4 linked regions of the Caenorhabditis elegans genome follow. The protein of the gene in region 3 interacts with the protein of the main gene of each other region in a pairwise test. Each region holds a gene or a part of one and is shown on either strand. Other genes may lie near its edges. The genes, in order: exp-2, C15H9.4, vab-9 and vpr-1.

Region 1 (5,518 bases), on a different chromosome or scaffold from region 3:
GGATTACGAGTTAAGAGCTTGTTAGCAACAATTGGTAGCCGTTCATCCATATGAAATCCTCATTCTTTTCCGTTTTTCTGCGAGGGGCGACCCCCCATTCCAAATGCCTTCAGCTGCACTATGTTCTGTTTCTTCTAGTTTCTTATATCCTAATAACCCTTGGTGAACCATTCAGTTAATCTGAGCTAAACTTTTTTTTTAACATGCTGATCCACTGAATGGATTCAATTTTCTCTGTGTAAGTTTTGTTTCGTTATAAAGTTTCATAAAGAATTAGTTACTTGCAAGCAAAAAAGACCGAATGAGCTCCTCATTTGTTGTATGCTCAAATGATTATGTTGGCAGAGTTCATCTCAAGCTTCTCCTCCCGTGTTGTGTTTTTTTCTCGTTTTCTATCCTCGACCGTCTCAACGAGGGAACAAAGATCACGGGAACTTTTTCAATTCGAGAATTGAATAGGTTTTTGCATTTTTAGACTAAATTCTTGTGGCTCTGGGCAAGTAAACGAAACAATTCTCAAGTGGTACTCACAGTGGTCAAATGATTCCTCCAGAACCCGTGGAGCCAGATATATTTTGACATTTTGCTCGAATTTCCACCCTCACACTCTTTTTTTTTTGTCGTTAGTTCTCTTTTTCGATCTTTGCTAGTGAGAAATATTTAGAAGCGGTCTAGTGGAAGAAAATTTATAATCGAGTAGGCTTGAGGTTACACAGGGATGGAGACTCGGAGAAGAGGTGCTAAACGGGTCCATATGCAAAAAGCAAAACAAAAAACCAACTGCCAGAGAAGAATTCGACTTTTAGATTATTGTTCTGGCGTTCGGTTGTGAGAATGAAAATGGCTCAGGCCAGGTAGGTCATACTCAATATTATTTTTTGGTAGCAAATAATTTTCTGAAAAAATTGAATACGAAGATTTAGTGTAGGTCAGACCATATCAAATTAGAGAGCCAATTCTATACTCTTTTTTATCACTCTTACATTCTTTTCCGCACATTGTCTCTGGCAAACAATACCTATCATTTTCACAATGTAAACCTACAAGTGTACCTTACCGACAGATCATCCTCTTCGGCCCCCTATCACTGTGTTTACTTTCGCTCCTAAAATCCTACGTGAGCAACAAAATTTGTCATACATGAATCTCAATTTTACTCGATTTTTATAGTGTTCCATCGATGTGGAGAATAAGAGAATATGAGAATTTTTCACCGCAATTGAAAACATATGTTTTTTGGTTTTTCAATTGATTGGATGAAAGAAGGCAGATATCTTTCGAAGCTCCACTTTGTTTCTTGATTCAATTGCTAGCGTGTTGAATGTTCATCCCGATTCATTTTATATTCTAGAAATTCCAGTCTAGAGAGTCATGAGAGTCATCACCGTAAATCAATCATGTTGCTTTTCCTCCCTTCCAGTAAGTAGATAAAATAGATGCCGAAAAACGGGGCACCCGAGACCAAAACCACAAATTTGGTTGCTTTTCGTCTTCGTCGTCTTTGCCGCCGTCTTCATCGACAACTCGCTCATATTTGGTTGCTAATACTACACATATATATGTAGCAGTGAATTGAAGAGAAACAGACGAATTCCGTCGTATCTATCTCATTCTCTCACTACCTCACCTGCATATCTTTTCCCTCTATAAGCACCGTGCTCCCTCCGGTAAGCTTTGAGCGCCCAGCGCGGTTTCCCACGCGACGAAGAAAAAGAGAAGCAAGGCGTCAATTCGGCCACCTGCTGTCAATCCTCTCTCATTCTCACTCTCTGTGCCGATCCTTCATATCTTCACACCTGCCCTCAGTGGAGCCCCATCCCAGCTGCCAGTGCTCATAAAAAAGAAAAACTAGAAGGACCTTTTCTTATCACCTGTTATTTATCAACTGGTGTTCCTGGGGTCGGACGTCTGAAGTATTAGATACCACAATGGCATGTGCAAGTATTTCTTACTCGGCGCTGGCATATAATGGACAGTAAGTTTTTCTATCAAAGCATACCGGAAGCTTCTAACATCATCATAGATTCACGTCACGCATCCTCATCACATCTTCTCAATCTATCTATTAGTTCTGTTTTCTCTTCTTCCTTTTCTTATCTTAGTGGAAAAAAAAAATAGCTTCACTTTAAATGTGTCAGTCCAATTCTCATCATCCTTGACACCTCTCATCTTGTCACGCACACACACGTGTGATGACACCTCTCTTCTACTTCTCCTAAACCTACTCTGAACACTGCTGAAAACTACTGAAAAAAAAACACTTCACGCGCTAAAACTGAAGTTGCAAAATGGCGATTGCAATATCGCAAGCGGTTCTAGCGCATCGAAATTCTGCAGCAACATTTACGGTCCCTGGCTCGACGGAGCAACTCAAATTCCATAATTACAGGGTAACCGGAAACATGATCAGCGGGTAAGTTGTGATTTTTAATGCCATGACTATCAATCTAACTAAAGATCGGATTGTATCGATCGTGTTTCTCTTTTCATGCATGATGCTTATGTTGTGATGTTTGATATATTAGCTTTTCCTTCCCTGTCACTAAAACTGAACTCTAGACCAAGATATCAACGGGTGTGATGCACTTTGATCTTTTGTTCTAAAATTCTAATCCTCCAATTTTCAGGGCCGCACAGCAGCACAAAAAGCGGCTAGTCCCGCTGCGTCGGACTGATGCAATGACAGTGGCGGAACGTCGAAACTATCAGATTCTAGACGATATTTTTCGATCTGGAGCATCCGATTGTTTCCAACAAGTCAGTTCAGCGGATAACGGAAGCCCACAGTTTTTGAAGCTAAATATTGGAGGCACAAGCTTTATGATTCTAATCGACGCGATTCTCCGCGCAGACACAACTACTTTTCTCTCGCGGTTTGTCCAACTCACACACACAGCTAGATTAAAAGTGAGCTAAAAACTGGGGGATAATCTCATCATATCATCAATCTATTTCTCTTTTATTTAGGTTGCGGATGCCTATATTTCCGCTGATGATGCTTACTATTTCCAACGATCACCTACTTCCTTTGAAGCTGTGTTTCAATACTATGCAACAGGAGTGGTGCATCGACCATCTGAGGTGAATATTAGGAAGTGAAGTGGAAAATATCTACTTTTTTAAAATTTTAGATTTGTCCAGCTTCGTTTCTAAGTGAGCTCGACTTTTGGAGGATATCCCATCAACATGTTGGATCTTGTTGCGCCGATATTATCCCCCAAAAACGGGAAGAAGAGAAAGAAGAAGAAAAAGTAAATCATCTGTATATCACAAATTAAAGAAAAATTTGTTTTAAGGTAGATGATACCACCTTCGATAAGTTGATGTGCGGAAAGTTACGGAGGAGGATGTGGACTTTTCTCGAACGGCCTGGCTCTTCAATGCAAGCAAAGGCATTTGAGTTGTCATCGACTCTTTTTGTAGCAATTTCAGTTATGGGACTTTCTTTTGGAACTATTCCAGATTTTCAAGTAAGTATTTAACTTTCTAATAATTTGGTTAAGCATTCAAATATTCAGGTTACTCATCTTATGCCTCCTCATAATGAAACAGTAGTGTTACCGAATGGAACTGTAACGGTTGTTCAAAAAGTTGAGCAAATGAGAGTGGAACATCCGGCGTTTGTGTTCACGGAACGGATATGCATTGCATTTTTCACTGTCGAATATTGCCTCCGGTTTTTCGCCGCACCACGGAAATTAAGATTTGCGCTGAAACCGCTGAACCTTGTCGATTTACTTGCTATTGTTCCATTCTACTTGGAATTGCTTCTGACATTATGCGGAGTTGATGACAGGAAATTAAGAGATCTACGATGGGCTTTCCTTGTTGTTCGGATTCTTCGAGTTCTTCGAGTTATCAGAATTATCAAATTGGGAAGGTTCTCATCGGGACTCCAAACATTCGGAATGACACTTCAAAGATCACAAAAACAACTACAAATGATGACAATTGTACTTCTGACTGGAGTTGTATTCTTTTCAACCATGATTTATTTCTTGGAAAAAGACGAGGAAGGAACACCGTTCACAAGTATTCCGGCGGCATATTGGTGGTGTATAGTAACAATGACAACTGTAGGATATGGAGATGCTGTTCCCGCAACTACTAGTGAGTTCTTTCCCCTATTTGTGGGTTCTAATTGAATTTAATTTCAGTGGGGAAAATCATTGCATCAGCAGCAATTATGTGCGGAGTACTTGTACTTGCTCTGCCCATTACTATCATTGTCGACAACTTCATCAAAGTGGCTCAAGATGAACAACAAGCGGAGCAACAGAAAAATGACCAGCAAAGCGAGCAACTCGCGTTGGAAGCCATGCTCAATGCCCATGACTAGTATACAAATTATTTCAATGATTAATGTTACGAGTAAATGTTTCCCCCGAAGTTCTATATGTTTTATCAAACTTAAGTGAGTATATTGGTTTTGTTATTTTATTTTCATAAATTTATATTTTTTCTAAATTTTCTATTATGGTTACTATCATTATTTCCGAATCTAAAAATATTATTGAAAAAGAAAACCAATCCAATTTCAACGGGAAACTCCTCCAGTGCACTTTCTCCTACTTTATCTCTCCCCCACTCTCTCACTCTCTTCAACTTTTTTCAAAAAGTCTTGACGGCATCTGACTATAAAGTAAAAAAGAAGAAGATTCCAATTTCTCTTGGCATATTTTTTGATTCAAAGCCGCTTTACACACTCCATCCATTTCCCCATTTCCCCATGTGAAAACACAGAGAAGAACACGCTAGAAAAAAAACTCGAAAAAGACATTAGGCCATTTCCTCTCCCAAGACCCACCTGGATTTTTGTTGTTAGCTAACATATCACTCTCGTCCGAAGGAATGATTTTAATAAAAATATTATTAAAAGTTTGATATTATCACTTTGTTCGATTCGTAACCCGACTTTCCCAAAAAATTCTTTAACTAACCTGAGAATGAGAGCCTCAGTTTCACAGTCTCTCCTTTGTCGAAAACGAGTGTAGAAGCATATCGATCTACCCGATTGATCTCCGGAAGTTGATCCATAGTGAGCTTGCATGAGTGCTCCACTGAACCAGCAGTGTTCTTGACCACAATCTTGTATTCGCCTGAAAACGTTCATAAGTGAAAAGAGATTGAGAAAACGAGAGAAAAGCAATATTCAAATTTTGGAGTGACAGAAGCATTCTGGCATTGAAGGGTCAGGTTTCCGGTTACTTTATTTCAACCCTCTTTTGAACATTTGTATGACACAAGATGAATGTGTATTTCAGTTTTAACATCATACCTTCATCATCTTCTCTCATCTCTCCAATCGTCAAAGATGTTGCACCGGCGATGTTTTCAATCCATTGCCGTTTTCCAGAGAAAATTTCTTTTTTGTTCTTAAACCAATGAATTTCTGGTGCAGGATGTCCGGTGAACTCTGCTGTGATTTTAGTCTTTCCGTTTTTAACTGCTGTCAAATCGGTTGGAGCATTTGTGAATGCAGGCTTTTTAGATTCTGAAATTAAAACTTGAAATTTGG
Region 2 (5,556 bases), on a different chromosome or scaffold from region 3:
ATAACCCAATTTTGATAGAAAAATAACACTGATACTGGAAATACTGAAATTTAATTATTTTTTTATAAATTTTAGGTCAATTCAACACTTGGTAGAGGGAGCCACTACAGATGGAAAAGCCGCAGCCAATTTGGAAAAACTACGTTTATTTCGACAATTTTATATTCTCGTTGTCGTCTACATCTACTGCACGAGGTTTTTTGGCTTCATATTACTCGTGAGTTTTAGAATTATAACAATTAAACATGTACAAAAAAAATTCTTAGCTTCAAGCCAGCGCCAGTGGGAAAAGTGTTGAAACCCCACTTTTGTGGTGCCAAAATTCCAAATATCACAGTACAACTTTATACAATTTTTTTAAATTTTTGATATTTCGTTTCAAAAACTGGTAATTACTCAGGTTTTACTACTTCATTGAAGTGGTCGGTCAAAAAAAAAAACTACCTTTGGATTTTATAGTCTACGTATGTTTCAAACATCGGTTTTTAAACAATGTAAGTATAGATTGGGACAGTGCCAAAAAAAATGGCAAAATCTCAGTAAATGTCACTTTTTGACTATGAATTCAACATTTGTAAAAGATTTACTATGATATTCGGTCTTTTTGGTAACCTAGGAGCGTGTTCTAACAATATCGTCACCGGCTCCTACTCTAATTTTAATCATACATATGTGTGCATAATTATTCCCGTTCAGCACTTAATGCCTGTGAACCTCCAATGGACCATTGTCGCTGCAGTCGAAATGGTTACCTTCGCATTTTTCATCATCGTTGGCTACAAATTCCGGCCTGCCAATTCACACAATTATCTGCTCTTGAACTCGGATTTTGATAGCTATGATGTGGAGACATCGCCGAAAGAAGATAGGAAAGATAAAGAAAACAATGAGCAAGAAATTGATGAGCAGTGAGTCATTCGTTTTATCATCTTTGTGAAAAAATCAAAACCTTGAGTTGAGAAAATCTTGCAGATTCCTGACAAAAGCCTACTCAGATGCCAATGTGTCGAGGAGATTGGTTTCAGATGAATCATCAAACAACCAAACCGACTATCCCCATCAGAAACTTTTGAAGAAACCGTGAGTGGCTTTCAGTATTAATACATAACATTCAATAATAATCTGTATTTGTTCAGTTCTCAAACCTACGAACAATCATTGCTAGATTAATTATAATCCGTTACAACAACAACAAAAACAACAACGAGTTCAGTGCAAACGGAGGGAGGCTTATCAACTCAACCAACCAACTGTTTCGATTATAATACTATTATGGACAGGATGATCATCCAGACTTCTATCGCGTTCTACTCACTATTTTCAAACATTTTGCTTTTCAAATAACATTTCTACCGGTCCTTTCTAGATGCATGATAATGTGTATATAACTATTTTAAGATAATGATGAAAATTGAAACTGATTTTGAAATATGATAAAAACAATTTCAAATTCCATTGCAATATCAATCATTCCTTAGAAAATATTATCATCATTATCTAAAAACTTCAAGATGTATGAACTAAATTTTTTCAAACATATAGGTGAAAGTACACTGGCCAAAGTGTATAAATTCTAGTCTCCGCCTCCTTTTCCCCATCTCTAATCTTTTTTAGTTGTAACATTTAGTCCAATAAATTTCCAGTCGTGTGATGTGATAACTCGAGACTCCCTGTAAAAAAATATTGTTAATTATTTTTCATTCTATTGTGTACTATTTTCTGAACCTTCTGTGTCTTTGTGTGCTCTATGGTCATCTAGTGAATTCAATATCTTATAATTCATTAATGAAAAGAAGATTTTTTTCCTTACTTAAAATCCTTTGTAACATTGATATAACCTCATATTACAACATCTATACAATATTTCATGCAATTCAGAACGACAAACCAACTCTAATGAGGGATCGCCGCATTGGACAGCTGTCCGAGTTAAAAGGACTAGTGGTAAGAGAGGGGTGAACAAGCATGGCGAAAGGGGGTACGCATTATTGCGTGCGCGTGTTTGCGTACTGCGCGTATTAGCCATTGTCTGCCGACCACCCGGAATCCGGCCATTTTCTGTGCACCGCAATAGCCAATACCGCTCGATTATTAGTTTTACGAGCCAATTTGCTCTTTTTATAATCCATCTTAGCTGTTATCGATTTTTTTTCGAGTTTGTATGGTTTTATATGCATTTTTGTTTTGTTATTAATGCTATTATTATTGGGTTAATTGCGCAAAATAGTTTTCCAAAAGTTTTTATGTTGAAATAATAATTTCCTTCTTTATACTCCTTTTCTAATTATCATCATGGTTTTTTCTCTTTTATCTGTCGTTTCCCTCAAATTGCAAGAAAAGTGTTTTCTTTTTAATTTAATCACAAAATGATTATTTTTAAATTATTAAAAACAATATGATTTATGGTTCAATTTCAACATTCACTTGATGTATATCAATTTATATTGATTTTTCGCGTGAAAATATCTCAAAAGAGCTAATTGAAGCGCGGAAACTTGTTTACTGTGTTCTTTTTCTCTGTCTGATTCACCAGACATCACAATGCTCAGTTAGAAGGCAAAAACATTTTTTCCTCTCCTATATGCCTCTCATTGTTTTGGCCGTTTTTGGCCGTGTGGATTACTGTTTTACAAACTGTAGAATAGAATTTTCACACTTTTTTATTTTTCTTGATGTAAAAACTTTGATTTTGAACTGCAATCCGATAGGGGGAGATCTTCATTGAAAAAACGTTTTACCGCACTAGAATGTTCTCATAATTAATCAAACATTAACCAGTTTTAATCAACTCAAAAAAGTGGAACTTTACCCTTTGATAACAACTCCATTTCCGACTATGATGGTCAACGGTGCAATGATAAGAGAAACGTCTCCCCCTGTATATTGACATTTATGTGCTTTTTCAATTTTCCATTGACTACATATAAGACAGTAAGGTGGACAATAGGAAATAGTTTTGCTCTATTTTATGTTTTTGTTCACCACTTCCGTACCTGCAAAAAAGAATTCAGAGCTTGAAACCTTGCCACCTATTACGACCACAGTTTGCGTACAAATGAGTGTGTGTGTCCGTTCGCGTCCGGCCAATCCTCTCTTCGTCGCCTAGCCGTTTTTTCGCGCGCCTCGATCTTGATTTTCCGCGTTCCTGCAGTTTTCTGTGTTTTTCCGAAACTAGGCAAAATCAAAACGCGGCGCTCGATTTCTTTTCCATTTCCTGTTGACTAAGAAAAGAGTGTTTTAGTCAATCTTCCAAAGTGGTTTGATTGACATCGACGCCCCTATTTCACCACCAAAGCGTCTTCTTGCCCCCCGCTTCTTTCTTCCCTCATCTTTCAACCCTTGCCCCATAGATGGATGGCTTTTACATACTTTTGGAATACTTGCACTTCTCCCGCTGCTTGCTCTGTGTAGTTCAAAGTTGTCGAGAAGAACAAAAACTGCAAAAGGCATTTTCTTTTTTTTTTGCTTTTTCGCTTCATAGATCGTCGTCATGAATTATGTTTGGCGCGTTTGAGTGAGGTGTGAGTGCAAAGACCTTGAAAAACATTTCAATCGTTTTTTTCACAGATGAGCAGGTTGCCTATATATCTCCCCTCTCGTCAACTCGCTTTTTGTCACCATTGTTCTTTTGACCATTTTTACCACCTCTAACCTTTCGGGTTGATGTGTATCTCAATACTTTTTACGGTTGCGCCGCATTAGACCCCCGCGTTCGGGAGGAGGCTACCCCACAAGTGTTGACATACTCTTCAACGTTTCTACGTTTAGTTGTGCCCTCAATTTGTTATTTTGATTTCTTTTGGGCAAACATAACTATATTCCTTTTATTTGCCAATTTAATGTTTCAAAAAGTCGATTAATTACGTTCACAGCTCCCTTTACGAAATAGTGATGTGAATTGAAAATTTACTGGAGAATGAACTACTGGGTTTTAAACTTTGTCGTAATAAGTGCAAATAATTAACCGGATTTTTTTCTCAAAATTTGAATACCCGCGCAAATTCTTGCTGAACAAATTTTGTATGTTTTTTTTCCAAAAAACATTTTTTGTAGCAAATGAATTTAATATATTTTTTATAAAATAACCAAATATCATAATAAAACTTTAAAAAAATTTTGAAAATGTTTTTTATTTTGAGTAAAAAAGCTGTGAAAACTCAGTATTTATATATTTTTTCTATTTTTATTTTTTCAAAAATATTTTTTCATCCAGTTTTGTGCTTTGATTATATTCAAAATACTTATATTCAATAATTTCCGCATTGTAGAGATTATAACTTTTTACCGCTTCTGACTCGAAATAAGATTTTGTCCAAAGTTTTTTGATAAGTTCTATTATCATATTTGGTCATCATATATTATAAATCATGTAACTATATAAATATTTTAGGTCATAGCAAAAATGAATAGGAATTTCAAAAAAAAAATAAAAGCAAGTCCTTATTTGTTTTGCATACTTTTTCTAAATTTCTTTCAAGTTTTAGTTTTAATGTTAAAAAGTATAACAAACCGTCTAAAACTAATAATAGAGCGTCTTTACAGTCCAAACAAAATACGTGAAATTGATTTCCCGCCTCTTCAGACTTTTTCAAGCTGAAATATTTCGATCTCAACATTTTTGTTTAAATTTTGTAATAGCACAAAGTTCCAGAGTGCATTCTACATGTTTAACCATTTTTCCCCATTTCCACATTTTTCAATCGATGAAAAATTAATATAATGGCGTCGGATGAGACATACATTCTTTTATTTTCAAAATGTTCAGAAAAAAAGTTCCACTCACACCTCGTGATACAGTGACTCAGCCACTTTGAAATGACCAATTGTTAGAAAACTATTTAGTTGGTGGTTATAATTTACGTTTATATTTTAAATCATTTGACATGTTTCTCATTAAATTCCTTGGTAAATAATTTGTATTCCATCCATCACAATTTTCACAAGGACAAATACATAAATCATATTGTATTGTCGTATTAAGAAAGAAAAAAAAAACCAAATCTTGTTCGATTTTACTGTTTTTATAGTCATTCGAATGATGAATGATGGGTATGTAGGAAAGGTATGTACATAATATTACACAACTATATATTCCAAACTTCATTATACCGATAAGAAATTCAACGAAATTCTCCGACTTTTAGAGAAAAAGTTTGATAAGAGTCGATAGGCCTACATTTTGGCAGAACGAAAATTGTAGCCTGTTCTTTGGGGGTTTGAAGCTTGCGGGGCAACACAGGGGCATCATAGGGCAACACAAGCAACAAGAGAAGACCCTCGCTAGTTTCGCTTTTCTTTTTTCCTTTGTTCGATATCAGATTTCGAATCAGTACGTTCAAATCGGTCTTCGTCTCATCACTTGTCCTTCTCTCGCCCCCGTAAAACACTCGTCTCGACTTTTCCCCCTACACTACTATATTCTGTTATTCCAAAATGCGTTTGTTCCAGATGACAACAGACTCGGCGAGTCTAAAATCTTCCGAGGGAACATGCAGTTCGATTGGAGACGAGCGAGAGAAGGCGAAGATTGTGCAGAAGCTAATTGAGATCAAAGAC
Region 3 (4,680 bases):
ATAGAAATCTGTTAAAATAAGTTCAAAGTTCAGAATCAAATCAGTTGTACATCAAAAAGAATTCACTAAACATATATTTCAAGTCAAGTATATCTTTAGCATTACAAATCCAACTCTTAATTTTTTTTTTCTTCTTAATCTGTTTTCCATTTCTACAGTAACCTACCTGTTCTCCATTTTCTACCACTTTCCCGTTTTTGCCTACTCACTCTAATCTCTTTTCTCTTTCCCAACCTAATCCATTTTTTGCCGTAACTTTTCTTCACATAATCATCTATCTATGTGACGCAATAACTTGTTACATGATTTCCGTGGTCAGTTCAGAATAGATTTCCGTCACTGGTGGAACAGATTAGGCACGGATTTAGAAGAAGAAGCTGCGATGCTTTTGAAACTTTTGAATCAACAACGACGGAAAGTAAGAAGAATGGCATCTCATTATACTTTTAAACAAGAATTTTCGGATCATCATCGTTGTCGTCACTTTTTTCAGAACTATGTGAGGAAATAGGAGGCAGGAAAATAGAAGATTAAGAGGTGTAATATTGGATGGAAAAAATTAATTAGAAATTCCAGTCAAACTTTAAACCTTTTTGTTAGTTAACAGGTTCAAGAGAGGCACATTTTTTTGTTGCGAATTTAAAATGAAAATGTTTCCCGATCACGAGAAATTTCTTAAGTTTCGAGAGTATATTTTAGTGAGTTATCAAGTGAGCAAACTTTATTTTATTTCAAAAAAAGACAACATTTTTTCTTTGAAAAGGGTAGCTGCTAAAATTGAAATTGCGTTCGAAGATTTTTCATAAATTGCAGCAGTCAATTTAATGTTTATAGCTTGGCATTTAAGGGTTACTCTCTGGCAACATCTTGGAAACTTATTGGAAACTGCTCAAATAGGTTTTCATGTTACTGACAGAAAATTATCTGAACAGCTCATTGTTTGATATAAAGCTTTGGGAGAAAGTTCTGCTCAGAGCCGAGAATTTTATATATATTATTCGTTTCTTTGCGCATACTGCGCGTCAGGGTCTCGGGGTATCTTGTCCCGCTCATAAACGAGCCGGAGCTTTACATAAACCGGGTTGGATATTATAGAAGTTTTATTCTTGAAATTAAAATTCTTCATAAAAAACAAGGGAAGAAAAGATCACCGATAGAAAATGCACGGCATCGTAACAAGGTTGATGGGAGAAAAAATAAAATTATGTACAGAAAAAATTAATATTATTCGGATCGGATTGAGAAATACACGTTTCGAGGAGTTGAGGTGACTTTTTTCAAATGGAAAGTCGTTTAAAAATTTTCAAAAAAAAAAAATTTTAAAGTTCAAAAAATTAGACTATCGGTCGGAGAGCTCTGGTGGTGGATTGTAGATAGTTTTTTCTTTATAATAAACTTCTTCGTGTTCCTTATCACAAATCAGCATAATCGTTGCACCAATTGTAAAAAGTGTTGCTCCCCATGCAATACCATATGACCAATCAACTTCCCAGTTCCTGCGGCTACCGTAGTCACTTATTTTTACGTAGAATGCAGCTGGGAACATAATCAAAGCGGTCAATTCCAGTAGAACTGAAATTATTCGTAAATTAAGTTTTTTGTGATTTCTTTATTTTTTTTTTGTTTGCACTGATTAGCATTTAGGCCTAATTTTATTCAAAATTTCAAAGTTTGAATAAACATTTTGAAAAATACAATATCTGCCTAGTTCGGATTTTAATTGAAATAATTATTATATTACAGACAAATTGAATTTTTAAAAATTCAGTGACGGTCATTAAAATTTCATTATGTCGCTTTGAAATTATACCAATTTGATTAATTTGCAAAAAAAAAAAAAAAAAAACTCTGAAAAACTCACCAGAAAATCCAGAAATCATTGTCGCAATTCGGTACCATCGATATTTTCCACGGACATCTGATTTGCTGAGTCCAACAATATTGAAAATGGTAGAAAGTGCAGTGAGGAATAGAGCAACAATGAGAAGAACAGCTGCTGCGGTAAGGAATCCTGAAAAATAATGGAAATTGAAACTTTTTCTGGTACTGTTAGAATCTAATTGAAGAGTTTCAAAAGCTTTCTGACTCACCAGAATTCCTCGATGGCTTGTGACATGAACCAGGAGCAGGTGCACCAGGGAATGGAGCAGCATGAGTTGGCTCATTTGTTGATGTGCATTCTTTGAAGAGACCCGTTCTGAATGATCCTGTCTTGAGCCAAGAAGTTGAGCAAAGAGCAACAATCATGAGACCCACAGCAATGACTAGGCATATTAAGGAGATTATCTGGAAAATGGTCCATGGAGATAAATTATTAAAAATTTAAAAGTTCTTGTAACTCCTCTTTTTTTAGTTTCTAATCTTTGAAAAAATCATCATAAAATTATCATAATTATAATAGTAAGTTTTATATAATGAAAATATGTTTACTTAGTATAGGGTTATATAAATGTTTCAAACGACTTACTTTAAGAGGCCTAACTGCTGAAACGGCCTCAATGGTAGTTCGTTGGACTGCTACCATTTTGTCCCTTGAAGAGGATCTCTCGATGTCGGGAATTCTGAAATCACAACATTATAATTTCGGCAAAAAACTATATAGTGTAACTATTTTAAAAGTTTTGTTGAGTACTACAAGTTGTAAAGAGAGCAAGAAAGAGAGGAGAAAAATAAGAGTCTCAAGTGAGAGAGTTAGAGAGATAGAGAAAAAGAGAGAAGCTCTGGTATAATCGGCTAACTAGTTTTCACCACGAAACACTTCTTTTTTTTCGTTTGACGACCCGACAAATATTTATTTATAAACGCACAATATTATAACTGTCACACCAAAGCAAATGTGAATGTTAGAAAAAAGAGAAAAAGAAAAAAAACCAAGTAGTCGATGCTATCTAAATTGAATAAATGAGAGTGCGAAGAAATGAGAGTTTATTTTTTTTTTCTTTTTTTTTGCCTATAAACATTCTGAATATTCTAGAAGAGTGAGAAAATATTCAACTTTTTTGTGAGTGTGCGTGTTTTTTTTTATTATTTAAAAATTGATCGATAAAAATACCAAAAACTTTAGGAATCCTAGAACCGGAAAAATAAGAACACGGTGAGCACCAAGAGAGCACACTCTTGAAAATAGTTGGAAGATGCAAAGAAGGAGAGAGGAAATAAGAAAGAGATGGAAGGTGTATTGAATTTCAGTGCGCATTCCAATACACGCGCACACACCAGTTTGTGTGGTGCTTCTCCTGAATTTTGTATAGTTGGAAATCGAGAGTCTGTTTTTGCAGAATGAATGAAAACAAGGATGGATCGGTTGGAAGAATTTGGCACGACTAGAAAATGAGCATTGAAAAGTTGTGCTCTATTAAAATAAACTTTTTAACCAAAAGGTTGATTTGAAAAATGTTCAGAACACTGACTCAAATCACACCTAACTGTCATCCAGTTGTAAAAAAAAATAGTTTCGTGGTAGAGATCGGGGGAAGCTGTGGAGACGGAGGATGAGTTGTGAGTTATTATTACAAGTTGCGAAAATGTGAAAAGGAGGAGAAGTAGGACCGGAACAGCTGGGTTTATGAGAAGAAGGACAAGAAAGAGCAGAAGTCAACAAAAGAAAATTAGAAACTGGGAAAGAAGATAGAAGAGCTTGAACTTCAAACATTTTGAAACGAACTTTTCAACAAATTGAAGTTTACATATTTCTAAAGAGTCTTTTACAGAAAAAGATTTGAGCTTAAAATTCTGGATTTTTGATGTTCAAGTTGTGTTATTGGAACACTCAAAAATAATGTGAACGAGGAGAATGCATCGAGTGTTGAGTTACAAAATATGTTTTGTTACAAATGAAATGGGGAAGAGAGGCAACCGAATGAAAAACAGCTGGACACACTAAACATGAGAAGTGGCACGCAGTTAAGATGAAAGTTTAACAGGTTGGAGAACCAATGGATACGAGTGAGAGAGGCTTCATTTTTAAAATTACTTTTTATGATTGATGATAAAATTTATAAGGCTGCCGATGATCACTTTAAAAAATCAATAAGAAAGCTGAAACGGGGCCAATGGTTTGAAAATGAAAGAAGCACGCTTTCACTTCAAAAAAAAACAGCCTCCTAGTCGTTCACCAAGCATGCAAATGCCGTTAGTATTTGTGTATTTGTGCATGCCTTTGTGTGCTCTTCAAATTTTGAGCCTCGAACAACCATCAAACAAAAAAGAGCCGACAAGCACCCTTTCTCAGATGTTACCGAAAAAACAAAATGGCAAATGATTTGAAATGTTTTGCAAATGCAAGAGTTTTTGAACAGGATTTTAAACATTTGAAAAATCAAGAGATATTGGTACGTGATGAGTGCGAAAAAGTGTTCGTGGGAGGAGTGAATGGTGGGAGCCCGATGAGAATTCAGTGTAAAATGAAGAGATATTTTTAGAGGAACAAAGTGAAAAAGCAGTGGAAAAAGATAGATCTTGGCGATATACTAAATGTGTGATGTGATGTGATAATCTGGGTCAGAAGATGGAGTATTGGGTGCCAATTGGATGATAAATGGCTTTTCAAATGAGCAGTTTGAGGTTTTTGCATTTGAATTAATAAAGTTTCTGAAAGTTATCTGCAGAGTGGCTCTGTCTCAATTACTGATATTTCCACCCAAAACACGACAAATACCATCGTACAATCCCAAAAAGGTA
Region 4 (5,146 bases), on a different chromosome or scaffold from region 3:
TTGAAATGAGCACTCTCGTTGTTCCTGCTCTGAACTCTTTCATAACTTCATCACGATCCTTCTGTTCCATATCTCCGTGCATTGATGACACTGTGAAGTTGGCTTCCTTCATTTTATCCGTCAACCAATCAACCTTTCTACGGGTATTACAGAATAGTACAGCCTGTGTGATGGTAAGAGTATCATAAAGATCAATAAGAGTGTCGAACTTCCATTCTTCTCTGTCAACTGCAACGAAGAATTGCTTGATTCCTTCAAGTGTCAGTTCATCACGTTTCACAAGAATTCTGATAGGATCTGTCATGAATTTACTGGTCATCTCTAGAATTTCATGAGGCAGTGTGGCTGACAGAAGTACGACTTGTGCTCCAGGTGGAAGATATCGGTAGATATCGTACAACTGCTCCTTGAAACCTTTATTCAGCATTTCATCGGCTTCGTCAAGAACCAGAAGCTTGATCGCTCGGGTACGAAGATTACGACGGCGAATCATATCAAATACTCGTCCTGGAGTACCAGAAACCACGTGTTGACCGTAATCCAATTTGCGAATGTCTTCTCCGAGATTTGTTCCTCCGATACAGGCATGACATTGAACATTCATATAGTCTCCGAGAGCAAGAACTACCTGCAAAATGTGTTTTTTATTGCAACTCTGTATTTATTATATCCATACTTTTTGAATCTGGACAGCCAATTCTCTGGTTGGAGAAAGAATAAGTGCTTGTGTCTCTCGAACTTGTGTATCCAATGATTGAAGAACGGAAATTGAAAAAGTCGCAGTCTTTCCGGTTCCAGATTGAGCTTGAGCAATGACGTCACGTGCTTTAAGAATTGCTGGAACTGCTCTTTGTTGAATAGCCGATGGTTTTTCGAATCCATAGGCATAAATTCCACGAAGAAGGTCTTCTCGCAAACCCATTTTGTCAAATGTTGGAATAACATTTACTTCTTCAGAAGATTCGAATTCCACTGTTGCCATATCATCTTTTTCTGCTTTTTTACCAGCCATTTTGGAAAATCTGAAAAAAGATTAATTTTAAACATCACTCGAGTGACATTTTATTGTCGAGTCGCGTAAATTTCCAGGTAAATACTCCGAGATAATACGGCGAAAAAATTCAAAAATAAAAATAGTTATTGGAAACCATAAACATCAAATTTTATTGTACCATATACAAATCATGTGACTTAAATTGGTTGTTTCAAAGAGCATGGGGCTTTCTTAAAATCCATGGAGTCCTATATCAATCAATGGTTGTACACATAAAATAAATGAGAAAAGGTTGGGGGAACGGGGAACCATAGAATGGAAAATAAATAAATAAAATTCTTGATAATGGCTACCGGGTATGATGATAGGCAGTCACTAGACGGATCTATGATGGTCTAGAAGACGCCGGGAAAAACGGAAAACGAATAAACAAAGGAAAGAAGTGAAAGTAGTTTGAGAAAAAGTTTGAAATTTTTGCGCGCTGCGTTCACTAAAGAGGCAAGTATTCAAAATTTCAAAAAACCGAAAAGTTAAATATGTCAATTTACATTGCAGAAAATAACATTTTGATTTTTGAAATATTCAGAATTTCGCCCTTGGCAGAGAAAAAGTTAGAAAATTTAGGATTTGAAGGTTAAATTTGATGAAAATCCGAATGGAGCAATGCTTGTGTGTTTTAATGTTTGTGGCAGCAAAAAAGCACGTGAATGATAGTACCACTAGTTACTTAAAAGTGAAAATGAAGGAAGAATTGATTCAGAATTTAGAAAAGACGGCCAACAATAAGCCCGATGAGCAAAGCGGCAACCGCAATAAGGAAAATTTGCAATGTTGGGTATGCACCGTCGACAAGAGCTCCATCAGAATGCGATTGTTGAAGCTTGCGGTTCTTCTGAAAATATTTTTTGTAGAAAATTGAACACATATTTTTTTTTCCAAAGTGTAATTAATTTTTTCAAATTTCTTTTCTGATATTACCTTGAGCATGACTTCGATTTCTTGTTCCAATCCATGTACTTTCTTTTGCAATTCTTCTTTCTCGTCAACTGTCGATTTCAACGATTTGCGAAGGGAGTTAACGGTTCCATCATGCGATGGTGTTCCAGAGTACGAACTTCCGAGCTCTCTGCAAATATTAGTTTTTTATTGAATGAAGTTTATGAAGGAAACAATAATTGTTAACCTTCTTTTAACCTCCATTATAAGTAAAAACTCACTGTGCCTGTCCAGAAGAAGCAAAACTATCCTCGTTCCTAACCGCAAAGGTTTTTGTATCATCTCCAGACGCTGGATCTCTCTTGTCAACGAAGGTGACCATAAGCTTGCTGTAGGTCAGCTCCGCTGGATCGATTATTTTCCAGACCGATTCCAAATCTGGCAGATCTTCCGAAGGCGCCACACACGATTGAACCATAAACTTATGTCGTCCTGCATCAGATGGAATTCCTTCCAGAGGTTGAAGCATTACTGTGATTTGTTTCGAGTCACCAGATTTCAGGAGGCCTAAAAAATCAAAATCAGAAGGTCAAAGTAAACTTCAGTTTTAAAAATCAACCAGTCTAACAGATAAGGTCTAAATACAAATCATATTTTTCTTTTTGCGTTTAATTTCACTTTTTCCATATCAAATTGATTTCAATGCAAATAAATCCATCACTCACCAGAATTTGGACGAACACAATATTGCTTTGGAGCCGTTGTTTTCACTTTGAAGCACACTGGATTGGTTGATGTGTTCTTGAGAGTCATGTGTGATGTGACAACATCACTGAATGGGCCAGTGAACACGAGTTCACGATTTGGAGTCACTTGCAGAAGACTGTGCTTTTCAGACATTTTTTTGCTGAAAAAAAAAGTTAGTTCATATAAAATAATTATGTTAAAAAATAAAGATTGATAGGAAGTTTGGATCAAGGCGAAAGAATTAAAAATTGTTTTTTTTCTATTGGTATTTACGTACATCACAAAACCGAACACTAAACGAATATTTTTTCGATTTGCAATTTCGAAAAAGCTATAAAATGAAAAAGTCGCAGTGTATGTTCTAGCGTTATCAGTTTCTCTTGAGTTTTGGCCAGTGCTTAGTGCCTAGAGGCAAGCGTATTTGCTCTTGGCAAAACGAAAAACGAAAAAAAAATCGAAATCGTGTAGAAGTTATACAAATGCTTGTCTATCTTTCTAAATACAGTCTTCAATAATCTTGAATTTGAAATTTGAAAAAAATATGGACGAGTGTATTCAACACAGGTCATAAACAAAATTTAAACAGAAAGGCATCAAAAACGTTGTTCAGCCAGTAATTGAACGTTTGTCAATTGATAATCGGGGAGAGAAAAGTAGAGATGCAACTGATGGATGACCCGATACATGAAAAACACAACAAAAAAATAATATTATTTCCTATATTTTAACAACGAATAAGTCCAAAACTGCACAGTATTGAACAAAGGTTGAACCAATTCGAGAAAATAACAAATTATATTGAAAAATTATTCTGAAACGCTGTCAGATGACATGAATTCGGGTGAGACGTGGAGAGCGCACACGTTTTTCAAAAAATGTTGTCCTGAGAGATGCGTAAGAGATAATAGACGCAGAAGGAAAAGTGTATCTACGTCTCTTCCCTCTCGTTGACTTATAATTCGAGTGTGTGAGTGTACGTGTGAGCGATGTGTGTGTGTGCGTTTGGTAGGGGAGGACGAGTGTGAGCGAAAATGGCTGTCCTGGAGAAGGAGAAACACGTTGTTGGAGACGAAAGAGGCACCGAAAAAACACAAGCATCGTGAAGAAAAAACGATGGGATAAGAGAAGAAGATGGAATAAATTAGGATGAGATGTTTGCTGGTAGAATGTGCAAAATGCACTCAGAGAAGATTAAGCTAAGGCAGTTCTATGCAATAAAATCTTAATTTTTGTATTCCCCAGGAGCCTATAAATTAACCTCCAAGTCAAAACAACAGACAATTGAACCTTTTTTTGAAAAACGAGAAGAGCTGCAGTTTAGAAATGTTCGATATTTAAAATTTCACTCTGATTGAAATCATTATTTGAGCTCATTTATGAAAAAGATTGAGACGGAAATTGAAAAAGTTGAGTTAATAGCCTTATGCGTCAGCGGAAGATTTGATCCATATGAAGAATATTAACAAGTCGCAGTATGTATATCTGATGAAGCTAGAAACAGAAGACTTTTAGAATGAAAAAGACGTCCTCTTCTGCGTAAACAAAGTGCAAAGGACGGCGAATTTGAATGGAAGAGAGAGAGTGCAGACGCAATTAGAGCACCTCGGCTTGGTACTGCTTTAGACTTAGTTTCTCTGTTTTCCTGCCGTCCGGATGTGAGAACTCTCCATGACAACACAGATATTTCCCGTATCACACACTCATCGGAAACATAAGAGGGGGAGAAGGACAACTGGCTCCAACTATCAATCAATCGGGGTTATTTACACAATGATTTTTGTTCTTTTAATGTGCTAATAGAAGAAATATACACAAACACATGGAAGTAATATTGGGGAATTTGCACTTTTCTAGAAAATTAAAACTTGAAGTTTCAGGCTGAGCAAAAATAGCTCAAATAACTCGAAAAAAACTCAGTGAATAACTATTTTTATAACCAGGTTATAGACTAGGCGAAAAGGTACAGAGAGAAGAAAAGTCCGAATTTGTGAAAAATCCCTATTATTCACCAAAAAACAATCTATTTCACTTTTTAGGAGCTTCGACATGTATTGTACACGAATAGCAACATATTTTTGCAAAATACGTCTCAATAAATATTTTTCAGCTAGATATTACAGCATTTTCAAACGGAAAACCAAAAAAATCAAAAGAAAAAGCTAAATTTAAAAATATGTTGCATGTGGCAATGCGCGTAAGCTTCGCCGTAACGTACGCAAACACCGCGCCTGTTTTTGGCGCAAAATTTGAAACACATTTTTTGCATTTCTCAATTTCAACGTTTATTTTTTCTCTGAATCACTTCTCGCTATTTAGTGTCTTTTTTTAAAGAAGGAAATCAACATTATTCCGTTTTGAACAGTAAAACCTTTATTTCAGACTGAAATTTCATGTCCATAAAATCGTCACGGCTGAAAATTTGGGAAGAGAACTGCCCGGTGCTTAGCGATGCAAAATTCCAGAGAAAGT

What was found.
Region 1: the proteins of vab-9 (region 3) and exp-2 interact in a two-hybrid assay, tested with the Caenorhabditis elegans proteins (one large-scale study listed by BioGRID).
Region 2: the proteins of vab-9 (region 3) and C15H9.4 interact in a two-hybrid assay, tested with the Caenorhabditis elegans proteins (one large-scale study listed by BioGRID).
Region 4: the proteins of vab-9 (region 3) and vpr-1 interact in a two-hybrid assay, tested with the Caenorhabditis elegans proteins (one large-scale study listed by BioGRID).

What each region holds. Positions count from the first base shown.
Region 1 is NC_003283.11:6,139,082-6,144,599, forward strand, and holds exp-2 (BTB domain-containing protein), read left to right. Parts: upstream 1-1,928; coding exon 1,929-1,975; intron 1,976-2,029; exon of another isoform or gene 2,030-2,245; intron 2,246-2,389; coding exon 2,390-2,413; intron 2,414-2,627; coding exon 2,628-2,907; intron 2,908-2,967; coding exon 2,968-3,081; intron 3,082-3,131; coding exon 3,132-3,251; intron 3,252-3,296; coding exon 3,297-3,470; intron 3,471-3,518; coding exon 3,519-4,110; intron 4,111-4,157; coding exon 4,158-4,339; downstream 4,340-5,518. Other genes in the region: ttn-1 (Titin homolog), read right to left, coding at 4,941-5,099, 5,279-5,494.
Region 2 is NC_003284.9:6,095,769-6,101,324, forward strand, and holds the start of C15H9.4 (Transmembrane and coiled-coil domains protein 2), read left to right. Parts: upstream 1-1,874; 5' UTR 1,875-1,944; intron 1,945-5,260; exon of another isoform or gene 5,261-5,397; intron 5,398-5,448; coding exon 5,449-5,556. Other genes in the region: C15H9.5 (GOST seven transmembrane domain-containing protein), read left to right, coding at 76-217, 697-908, 973-1,080, 1,137-1,170.
Region 3 is NC_003280.10:8,635,149-8,639,828, forward strand, and holds vab-9 (Transmembrane protein 47), read right to left. Parts: upstream 2,564-4,680; 5' UTR 2,525-2,563; coding exon 2,468-2,524; intron 2,287-2,467; coding exon 2,091-2,286; intron 2,012-2,090; coding exon 1,862-2,011; intron 1,573-1,861; coding exon 1,340-1,572; 3' UTR 1,085-1,339; downstream 1-1,084.
Region 4 is NC_003279.8:5,867,118-5,872,263, forward strand, and holds vpr-1 (Major sperm protein), read right to left. Parts: upstream 2,838-5,146; 5' UTR 2,831-2,837; coding exon 2,656-2,830; intron 2,498-2,655; coding exon 2,212-2,497; intron 2,121-2,211; coding exon 1,973-2,120; intron 1,887-1,972; coding exon 1,758-1,886; 3' UTR 1,149-1,757; downstream 1-1,148. Other genes in the region: F33D11.10 (RNA helicase), read right to left, coding at 1-628, 677-1,012; cdc-7 (non-specific serine/threonine protein kinase), read left to right, coding at 5,068-5,146.